2 linked regions of the Ovis aries genome follow. The protein of the gene in region 1 interacts with the protein of each later gene in a pairwise test. Links are inferred from orthologs where the notes say so. Each region holds a gene or a part of one and is shown in the gene's direction. Other genes may lie near its edges.

The links.
Region 2: the proteins of TNFAIP3 (region 1) and YWHAB interact in a two-hybrid assay, tested with the Homo sapiens proteins (2 studies listed by BioGRID). The link is inferred for Ovis aries from reciprocal best matches to the Homo sapiens genes TNFAIP3 and YWHAB.

What each region holds. Positions count from the first base shown.
Region 1 is NC_056061.1:63,034,877-63,039,203, forward strand, and holds part of TNFAIP3 (tumor necrosis factor alpha-induced protein 3), read left to right. Parts: intron 1-121; coding exon 122-302; intron 303-1,432; coding exon 1,433-2,337; intron 2,338-3,407; coding exon 3,408-3,880; 3' UTR 3,881-4,327. UniProt on the Homo sapiens protein: Ubiquitin-editing enzyme that contains both ubiquitin ligase and deubiquitinase activities.
Region 2 is NC_056066.1:73,254,529-73,259,250, forward strand, and holds part of YWHAB (14-3-3 protein beta/alpha), read left to right. Parts: intron 1-2,006; 5' UTR 2,007-2,009; coding exon 2,010-2,309; intron 2,310-4,510; coding exon 4,511-4,634; intron 4,635-4,722. UniProt on the Homo sapiens protein: Adapter protein implicated in the regulation of a large spectrum of both general and specialized signaling pathways. Binds to a large number of partners, usually by recognition of a phosphoserine or phosphothreonine motif.

The sequences.
Region 1 (4,327 bases):
CATTCTGTAATTGTATCCTTTCTGCATTTTCAAAATGCAGTCGTTATATATATATATGACCTCACACAAAATCTTGTTTAGTAGAATCATTTTGCTTACGTGCTATTTCTTTTTCCCTCAGAAATCCGAGCTGTTCCACTTGTTAACAGAGAGCGAGGACGATTTGAAGACTTAAAAGTTCACTTTTTGACAGTTCCTGAAAACGAGATGAAGGAAAATCTCCTGAAAGAGTACTTGATGGTGGTAGAAATCCCCGTTCAGGGCTGGGACCATGGCACCACCCATTTAATTAATGCTGCAAAGTAAGCAGTTTGTTTTTGGCTCTTTCCTGTGTCATCTTTAAGCTGCTTCTGCCTCAGAGACCAATAGTAAAGTTATTTGAAGCCAGTTTCCTCCAACGTGAAACAAATTTAGGGGCTTGTGTGTGTCAGAGACAATCAGCTTAAGTGGCACTGACTTTGGTTTTCAAATGAAAACAAGGAATTTTTCCAGAGGCTTGTCCTGTGTATCTGGATGCTTGGAAGCCAGCACGGTGGCTTCAAAAAGTGCGTTCACATCAAGGATACTTTTTTTTCTTTTAATTGCCCTAGTGCTAGACTAACAAGTGAAAATTCTTAGAAACAAAAGCCTCATTCTCCTGGCTTCTGGGTAAGGCAGACACATCACATGCAGGCTGGGCTGTAGAATGTGTTTCTGTAGCAGCCACATGAGTTGGCCACGTGGATCAGGGAGGAGAGACCCAGAGTGCGGGTTTATAGGTATCAAGATTGTAAACACTGGCTTGATGATAAAGAGATGCCTGTTTCCTAGAACTTGAAGTGCACAACACCGAGAAGGCCTAAGCTAAACAATTTCTCAGCGTGGAGATGAACAAATTTCAGTGAGTCAGAAGTCAGCACGGAGTGCCTGTTGGTGCGTCCGCCTCTTAGTTACTGCTCATGGCAGTTAACGCTGATAGGCACCAGACGCACATTTAAAATTAATAGCAGCAAAATACGGAATGCAACCTTCCCGTATAGTTTGTGTTGGAAAGTAGACTTGTCCCAAATGAATACCCTGAATAATGTTTCAGTAGAAATTTGATCTCTGAGAATTTAGATAGTAAAAGTAACTATTTCAAAGAGGAATAGAGTAAGTAGAGAAGCAGTCCCCAAGTAACCCCTTTCTTTAGCATTATCTGTAATTTGGGGTGGACCACAATTAATTAAATGAGACTGATTCTCAGAATAGTGATGTCTTCTCAGCATTACTGGACTGTGTTACGTTAGAAGTGCAAACTATCACAGACTGCATTTCAGTAGGTGGGTAGAAAGTTATTGCCACAATCCATATTTTCAGTTTGCTCTATGAGCCAATGATATAAAATTGTGTGTGTATGTGTGTTTGTGTGTGTGTGTTTGTGAAGTCTCATATTTTTCCTTTTGTTCTTTAGGTTGGACGAAGCTAACTTACCCAAAGAAATAAACCTGGTAGATGATTACTTTGAACTTGTCCAGCACGAGTACAAGAAGTGGCAGGAAAACAATGAGCAGGGACAGAGAGACACACACCCCCAGAATCCTCTGGACCCTTCCATCCCCCAGCTTTCTCTCATGGAAATCAAATGTGAGACACCCAACTGCCCATTCTTCATGTCTGTGAACACCCAGCCTTTGTGCCACGAGTGCTCAGAAAGGCGGCAAAAGAACCAAACGAAAGTCCCAAAGCCCACCTCCAAGCCGGGCCCCGAGCTGCTCCCCGGCCTGGTGCTTGGGACCTCCCGGGGGGAAGTCTGGAGTCCTGCGGAGCCTGCCGGAGGCCCCCACTCAGCCCCTCCGACGGCACCCAGCCTCTTCCTCTTCAGCGAGACCACGGCCATGAAGTGCAGGAGCCCCGGCTGCCCCTTTACCCTCAACGTGCAGCACAACGGCTTCTGTGAGCGATGCCACAATGCCCGGCAGCTGCCAGCAGGCCACCCTGCGGACCCCACACGGCTTCCTGACCCGAGTAAGTGCCGAGCCTGCCTCCAGGATGTCACCAGGACGTTTAATGGCATCTGCAGTACTTGCTTTAAAAGGACTACAGCCGAGGCTGCCCCGAACCTCAGCTCCAGTGGCTCCCTGTCCTGCCACCAGCGCTCCAAGTCTGACCCCTCACAGCTGGCCCAGAGCCTGTCCCCACACGCCTGCCGCAGAGCCGGGCCCGAGGCGCCCTCTGGTCACCACTCCCCGGCCACAAGGACTCCAGGGGACAGGAAGGGGACCAGCAAGTGCAGGAAAGCGGGCTGCATGTACTTTGGGACCCCAGAGAACAAAGGCTTTTGCACGCTGTGTTTCATCGAGTACAGAGAAAATAAACGTGAGTGTCATGATGGGTTTCCTCTCCTCTGCTGAAAAACTCCCGAGTAGAGGGCTGTATGCCCCTTAACTTCAAGAAGGGAGCCCCTCTGGGCCATGGGGGGGAGTGTGGCTTGCCTGGGGGCAGAATCCCAGTAAGTCTTCCAGCACGCTTGGAAGTAAAAGCACAAAATAGCATGTTCCAAGACCCACAGAGCTCTGTGCAGAGTTCAGAGAATTTGTTTTATAAGGTCATGCAATGCAATGTTTGTAAGGTAGAGTTCAAACAAGACTTCTTTTGAAACTCAAGCGAACTAGAGAAAATTCAAAATCTGAAGAGCAGTAACTGAAAAGAGAGCTTCCCTGGTTTCTCCAATGGTTGAGAATCCTCCTTCAATGTGGGAGACCTGGGTCTGATCCCTGGGTTGGGAAGATCACCTGGAGAAGGGGATAGCTACCCACTCCGGTATTCTTGCCTGGAGAATTCCACGAACAGAGGAGCCTGGTGGGCTACAGTCCATGGGGTCACAAAGAGCCTGACATGACTGAGCGACTAACACTTTAGGGCTTCCCTGGTCGCTCAGAGAGTAAAGAGTCTGCCTGCAATGCAGGAGACCCAGGTTCAATCCCTGGGTCAGGAAGATACCCTGGAGAAGGAAATGGCAACCCACTTCAGTATTCTTGCCTAGGGAATCCCATGGACAGAGGAGCCTGGCGGGCTACAGTCCATGAGGTCACAAAGCGTCAGACATGACTGAGCGACTAACACGCACAGACAGCTGGAAAGAGGGCGGTCTCCACTGACTACATAAGAATGCCTTTGTGGTTTTAGAAATATCAAATCTGAAAGAAGGATGGGCACTTAATGTCTCTGCTTGTTCTGTGGCTGTGACCTACCCGTTCAGCATGTTCCAAAGGGAGAGACTTGTAGAGTCAAAGATGTTTTAATTCCAGTGTTATTTTTGTTGTTTAGTTTGCTGCGTGTCTGAAAAGTTGCTCTCCTAGAGTGCAACTGGCCTAATCTGTGTCAGAAAACTGTCCTTCTGCTGGGTGGCCCATACGTTTTCCTGATGAGCCTCCACTCTCTTGCAGATTTAGTCGCTGCCTCTGGGAAAGCCAGTCCCACAGCCTCCAGGTTCCAGAACGCAGTCCCCTGCCTCGGCAGGGAATGTGGTGCCCTTGGTAGCACCGTGTTTGAAGGATACTGTCAGAAGTGTTTCATTGAAGCTCAGAATCAGAGATTCCATGAAGCAAAAAGGACTGAAGAGCAGCTGGTGAGACCTCTCGAGGGACTTCCCCGTCTCCTGCAGGCCCGGCCTCCTTCCCAGGGTGATAAGCGGGCTTTTCTCCCTGCTGAGTTCCAGGGAAAAACCAGGGGAAAAGTCAGCCTGGCCCCCAGGCTTGGACATGCAGCAGTTCCTATTGATTTTCATGGCCTAAGTTTGCTTTTGAATTCATTTGAAGAAGCAAATGAAACTAGCCGTGGAATAAAACCCATGAAAGCCTCTGAGAAGCCAGATGGTGATCAGAGACTTCTTGGATTTGTAGAAGTACAGACCTCCTAGTGGCCAGCAGGCTTCCTTAACTAATAACAAATCCTCTGTCATGAGATCCAAGGAGGAAGCAGATCACCCCAGGTGCCTCCACTTACTGGCCAAAAGAAAGCAAGCATTTACTGACAGATGCCTTCCCTGTTGGTTGTTGGATGGTAGAGAATCTGTCTGAGTGAGGATAGCTTAGTATTCACGCAGTTACTATTCATGCAATTACTATTCACGCAGACAGAAGCTAGCCTCTGTGTTAGGGTTGGTGGTTCCCCTGGGCCTCCGTGAGGCCAAGGTCTGATTTCATGGGATGGGGAAAAGCGGTCCTTGGAGACTCCAGTCCATAGGCTGCCACCTGTCCCCTTGCCCAGGCGGATGCCCCTCACCTTACCGGGCCCTTTGTAGGACTCATACTGTCAGCTGAACAGGGCACCGTGTTCTCCCTGCAACGCATGATGATAGTTCTCT
Region 2 (4,722 bases), on another chromosome or scaffold:
TCATGTGGGTGAAGATGTCAGACAGGTCAAGGTGAGACTTGTCTTACAGTGTAGGATTCGAGTCAGCAAGCCTTACATAGGACACAACTCTTAATATGACTTAGATAAAAAGAGGTGGGGAGAAAACTCACAGTTCTGAACTGGAGCACCAACTCTTTCTAAATTGTCTAGATTTAGGGTGTATCTTAAAATTGTCCTTCATTTAATAAGACCTTTTCATGTGGTAGAGTCTTGTCTGTAGAATTTCTCTCTTGAAAATACAAAAATGGCTGTGAAGGCAAAACCAGAGTCTTAAATTGTGGTATGATGTATAAAGTAATGAGAGCATTTGTTTAAAAAAACACTGGTATTCCCACTACTGTTATAAAATAAAATACTATAAGTAGTATTTTATTTTTTTTCTACCTCAAGATATTAGTGTATTTTAACACTGTGGAATAGGTGAATACAATTGAGATTTAAACCAGCAGTGCCTGAAACTATGTCTTACTGGTTAATAAATATTTTTTTTAGCTACATGTTATCCAGAAATTATTGCATTATATTAATGGTGGCTATTTTTGCCTTGGTGTTTTTTTGTTTGTTTTTTTTTTTCCGGCCTTGCCTTGAGGCTTGTGGGATCTTAGTTCCCCAAGCAGGGGTCAAATCCACGCCCTTGGCAATGAGAGAGCAGAGTCCTAACCACTGGGCCCCCAGGGAATTCCCGTAATGGTGATTAGTATAGTTGGGAATTGACTGAGGTGAGGTGAATCATTTTAAGAGGTATTCACTGATTGCTGTATAGAGGGTTTGAGAAAATGAAAAGCTGAAATCACCAAGATTTTTGTCTGTTTCAGGAAAACTTTTAAACAAACTGAATTATGGTTCACAGCTCTGTTGCTGTGCGTCTTGGTGAATACACCCAGGTCTCTCGCAGTCTGTACCGTGTACAGAGTCAGTGCCTGGTATTTGTATATAATGTTCTCGACCAGGGGTCCCTGACCTCCAGGCCATGGACTGGGACGTCCTGTCAGATCAGCGGTGGCGTCAGGTTAGATATAAATTGCATGATAAGTGTAATGTGCTTGAATTCATCTTGAAACCATCCCACCCCCACCCCTGGTTGGTGGAAAAATTGTCTTCCACGAAATCAGTTCCTGGTGCCAGAAACTGGGAACCGCTGCCCTGGGCTTTCCACGGTGCCTTCACACAGATGAGGCCACTTGTGCCTCACAGCAGCCCCCAGAGAGTTGGCAGTGTTCTTCCTCTCCAGTTAGCAAACGGAAGTTCTCAGAAGCTGAGTGATTTGACCAAGGTCATGTTTCTTGTAAGTAGCTGAGCTGGTGCAAGGTTGAGCCAAATCTGCTGTCGTGGACAGTGTGTCCTTGTACCAAAGTTAGCACTTTGCAGACGATGGGATAAAAATGGCTTGTATGTTTAAGGTACCTACCACTTGATGGGCACTGCCAAATATAACACTGAAAGTCCTATCTTTTGCTTTAAGGTTAATGAAACAATCATTGCATGGTGTTTTTCCCTATAGTATGGGGAAAAACAAATTTGGTGAAAACCAGATATTTCTTGAAAGAAGAAAAGGCTGTATGTTTAACATAAGCTTCTAAAGAATTGAGCCATCTCTGGCATTGAGGAGGCAGATTAGGAAAGTGGAGGAAAACAGCTCGAAAGATAGACGTGAGTTTGGGTTCTGGCTCTCTGCTCTCTCCTGGCTGTGCTGCCCTGGACACAGCAGTTGGCACCTCTGAACCTCTACTTCTTCACCTCATGGAGGGGGAAGGGAGTGTTGGAAACGGATCTACCTGTAGGACTGCTGTGAAGGTAAAAACACCTTTTTAGCAAAGTTCCTAACCCGGTGGGTGCTCCTGCTCAAGTATTACCGGAGGCATTTGGAAATAGACATTTCCCATTTAGCTGTGTTTCCTCCCAGATGGGTTGAAAGAAGATTGGCACGTACGCGCCTCCTGGGCCTCGAAGCCTGATGTTCACTTTCTCTCTCCCTCTCGTTTTAGGGAATGACCATGGATAAAAGTGAGCTGGTACAGAAAGCCAAGCTCGCCGAGCAGGCCGAGCGCTACGATGACATGGCTGCAGCCATGAAGGCGGTCACGGAGCAGGGGCACGAGCTTTCCAACGAGGAGAGAAACCTGCTGTCCGTCGCCTACAAGAATGTGGTCGGCGCCCGCCGTTCATCCTGGCGTGTCATCTCCAGCATTGAACAGAAAACCGAGAGGAATGAGAAGAAGCAGCAGATGGGCAAGGAGTACCGCGAGAAGATCGAGGCTGAGCTGCAGGACATCTGCAATGACGTGCTGGTAAGAGGCCAGTGTTCCTGTTCTAAAGAACACCTCTTAATAGCGTTCATTTCATGAACAAACGCCACCTCTCAAACAGCTCTTGAGAGAAAGGTGGCTGAATATACTGGGAAGCTGCAAACCATTTGCAGCTAAGTTTTAAGCACACTGTGTGATTTTTTTTTTTTTTTTTCTCCCTCAGCTCTTAACCTGATCAGAGGTTGCTCATCACTTGTGGGATATTTTCCTCTCTCTTCCAAAGACCTCTGAAAAACGGGAATGTTTGCTCAACATCCCTCCATCTTTTCTTTAGAAATTGAGGGCAGAGAGGCAGCATTTTCGATAGGTGCACCCACAGAGAGGCTGTTCTCTGTGGAGTCTGACGGCGGTGTCCTCTCCGGGAGGGGAGAGGGGAGCCAAAAGCTGACCTATCTCTCAGCTGCTCCCTGGTCCCTGCACAGTGGTAGTTTTGTAAGTTAGCCCTGTCCATCAGTTTGGGCCTTCTTTCCAAAGGCAAATCACAAGTGGAATGGAGATTTTCCCTTGCCGTGATTTCATATGAACCTGAGTTGGACCACTGATTCCTCGCTGCTTTCCCTCGAGCCATCACCTGGGGGTGGGTGGGAGGGCCTCATACCGTAGAGCAAATCATGATCACACTGTCTTTCCCTCACGTCTTGAGCCCACTGGGAACTCTCTCTTTCTTCCAGGTGAAATCAGGTAAAAATGAATGGTGAGGGCTGCTTTGAAGGGAGAAGGAGTTCACATTTGTGGATCTCCCTCCTCCCCTGCTGGCTGCCTTTCCGAGTTACTGCCCTTGACACCTTTTGAAAACCAGTACAGAGCTTGTTAGCCATCAGGCAGGACTCCTCATGTCCAACCCATAAGGAGTCGCACCCTGTCTGTCTGCACAGATGATTAAAACGACTACCGCCCCCCGCCCCCGCATCCTCTCACTCTGATTGATTCGGTCCCCCTTACTGCTAAGCTTTTGCATCAAGCTGCTGTTTAATTTTTTTTTTTTTTTTTTTTGGTTAGACTCGTGGTATAAGAGTGTCGTGGCTAAATTTGTTGCCTGTCGGTCATTTGGGGGTTTGTTAATGGTGCGCTAATTCCCGAATGTTAGGTACATCTGGTACTCAGATGAAGTATGGCATGCACTCCCAAGGCAAGAAAGTTCCCTAATTCCTGAACGGTAGACCAGCTTTTACGAGCATCTGAAAGAATGTGAAGAAAAGCATGGTACTTACTGCCTCTTAACCAGTTTTTCAGGATGCCACATTCTAAAACAACTCTTCGAAAATATTGCTCTGTATACGAAGCGTGGACTCCTTCACAACTGCTTTTGTTGTAAGCATAAATGTTTAAAGGAATTTATTATTAATAATAGTCTTAGCTACTTTTGGAGTGCTTCCTAGTGCCAGGCGGCGTGTTAAGCACTCTGAACATTGGCTCATTTATCCTCGTAACTGCACTAGGAGATGGCTGTTGGGCTTCCCCTTGTGTAGCTGAGGAAACAGGATCAGGGCAATCAGGTCCTTTGTCCAGGGTCATACAGATGGTAAGCAGCAGAGGAGGGATTTTTTTACCCAGGTCTGAGCGATTCTAAAGTTAGTTCTTGGAATTTCTCCCTACTATCACCCTTTTTCTTCTGAAGTGGAAAGATTTTTTTTTTAAAATTACAGAATTAATACGATTTTTTTTTAAGCACAAGGCAGAAGAGTATAAATAAGAAAACTTTAAAATCACTTCTAATACTATTACTTAGAGAACCATTGTTAACATCTTGATAAATATTCTTCTAGATTTTTCCCTTAGGTATTTATATGCATGTGCATATATCTGTTTTAATATTAAAATAGGATTCACTTGGTATTTATTATCCGTTTTTCTTTTTCCCCACTCAGACTTCTTGTGGAGAGCCTTTCCACATTATCAGTGTAGTTCTGCCTCGTCATTTTTAATGCCTGTAGCATGCCATTGTATGGCTGTACTTTAACCCTTTATTGGACCGTCAGAGTGGATTTTAATGGATACTGGCATCTGTTATGACCTGGGCTAAAAACTATTTAAAAACTTTGGATGAAAATCATGTATTTTGTAATCACGACCCCTCCCCCCCCAATTATTTAGAAGTGGTAGTATCTCAAATCTCAAACATAGTTTTAACATCTTGTAAGTAATATTTCCAGAGTCTTAACAGAATGTGGATCATTTTTTAGGAGCTGTTGGATAAATACCTTATTCCCAATGCTACACAACCAGAAAGTAAGGTGTTCTACTTGAAAATGAAAGGCGATTATTTTAGATATCTTTCTGAGGTGGCGTCTGGAGACAATAAACAAAGTAAGTAATTTTTTTTTTTTTTTCTTTCTTTTTTTTTTGAGGAATTTGACCAGTAGCAGAGACCATCTTCCTAGTAATTTTGAGTTTT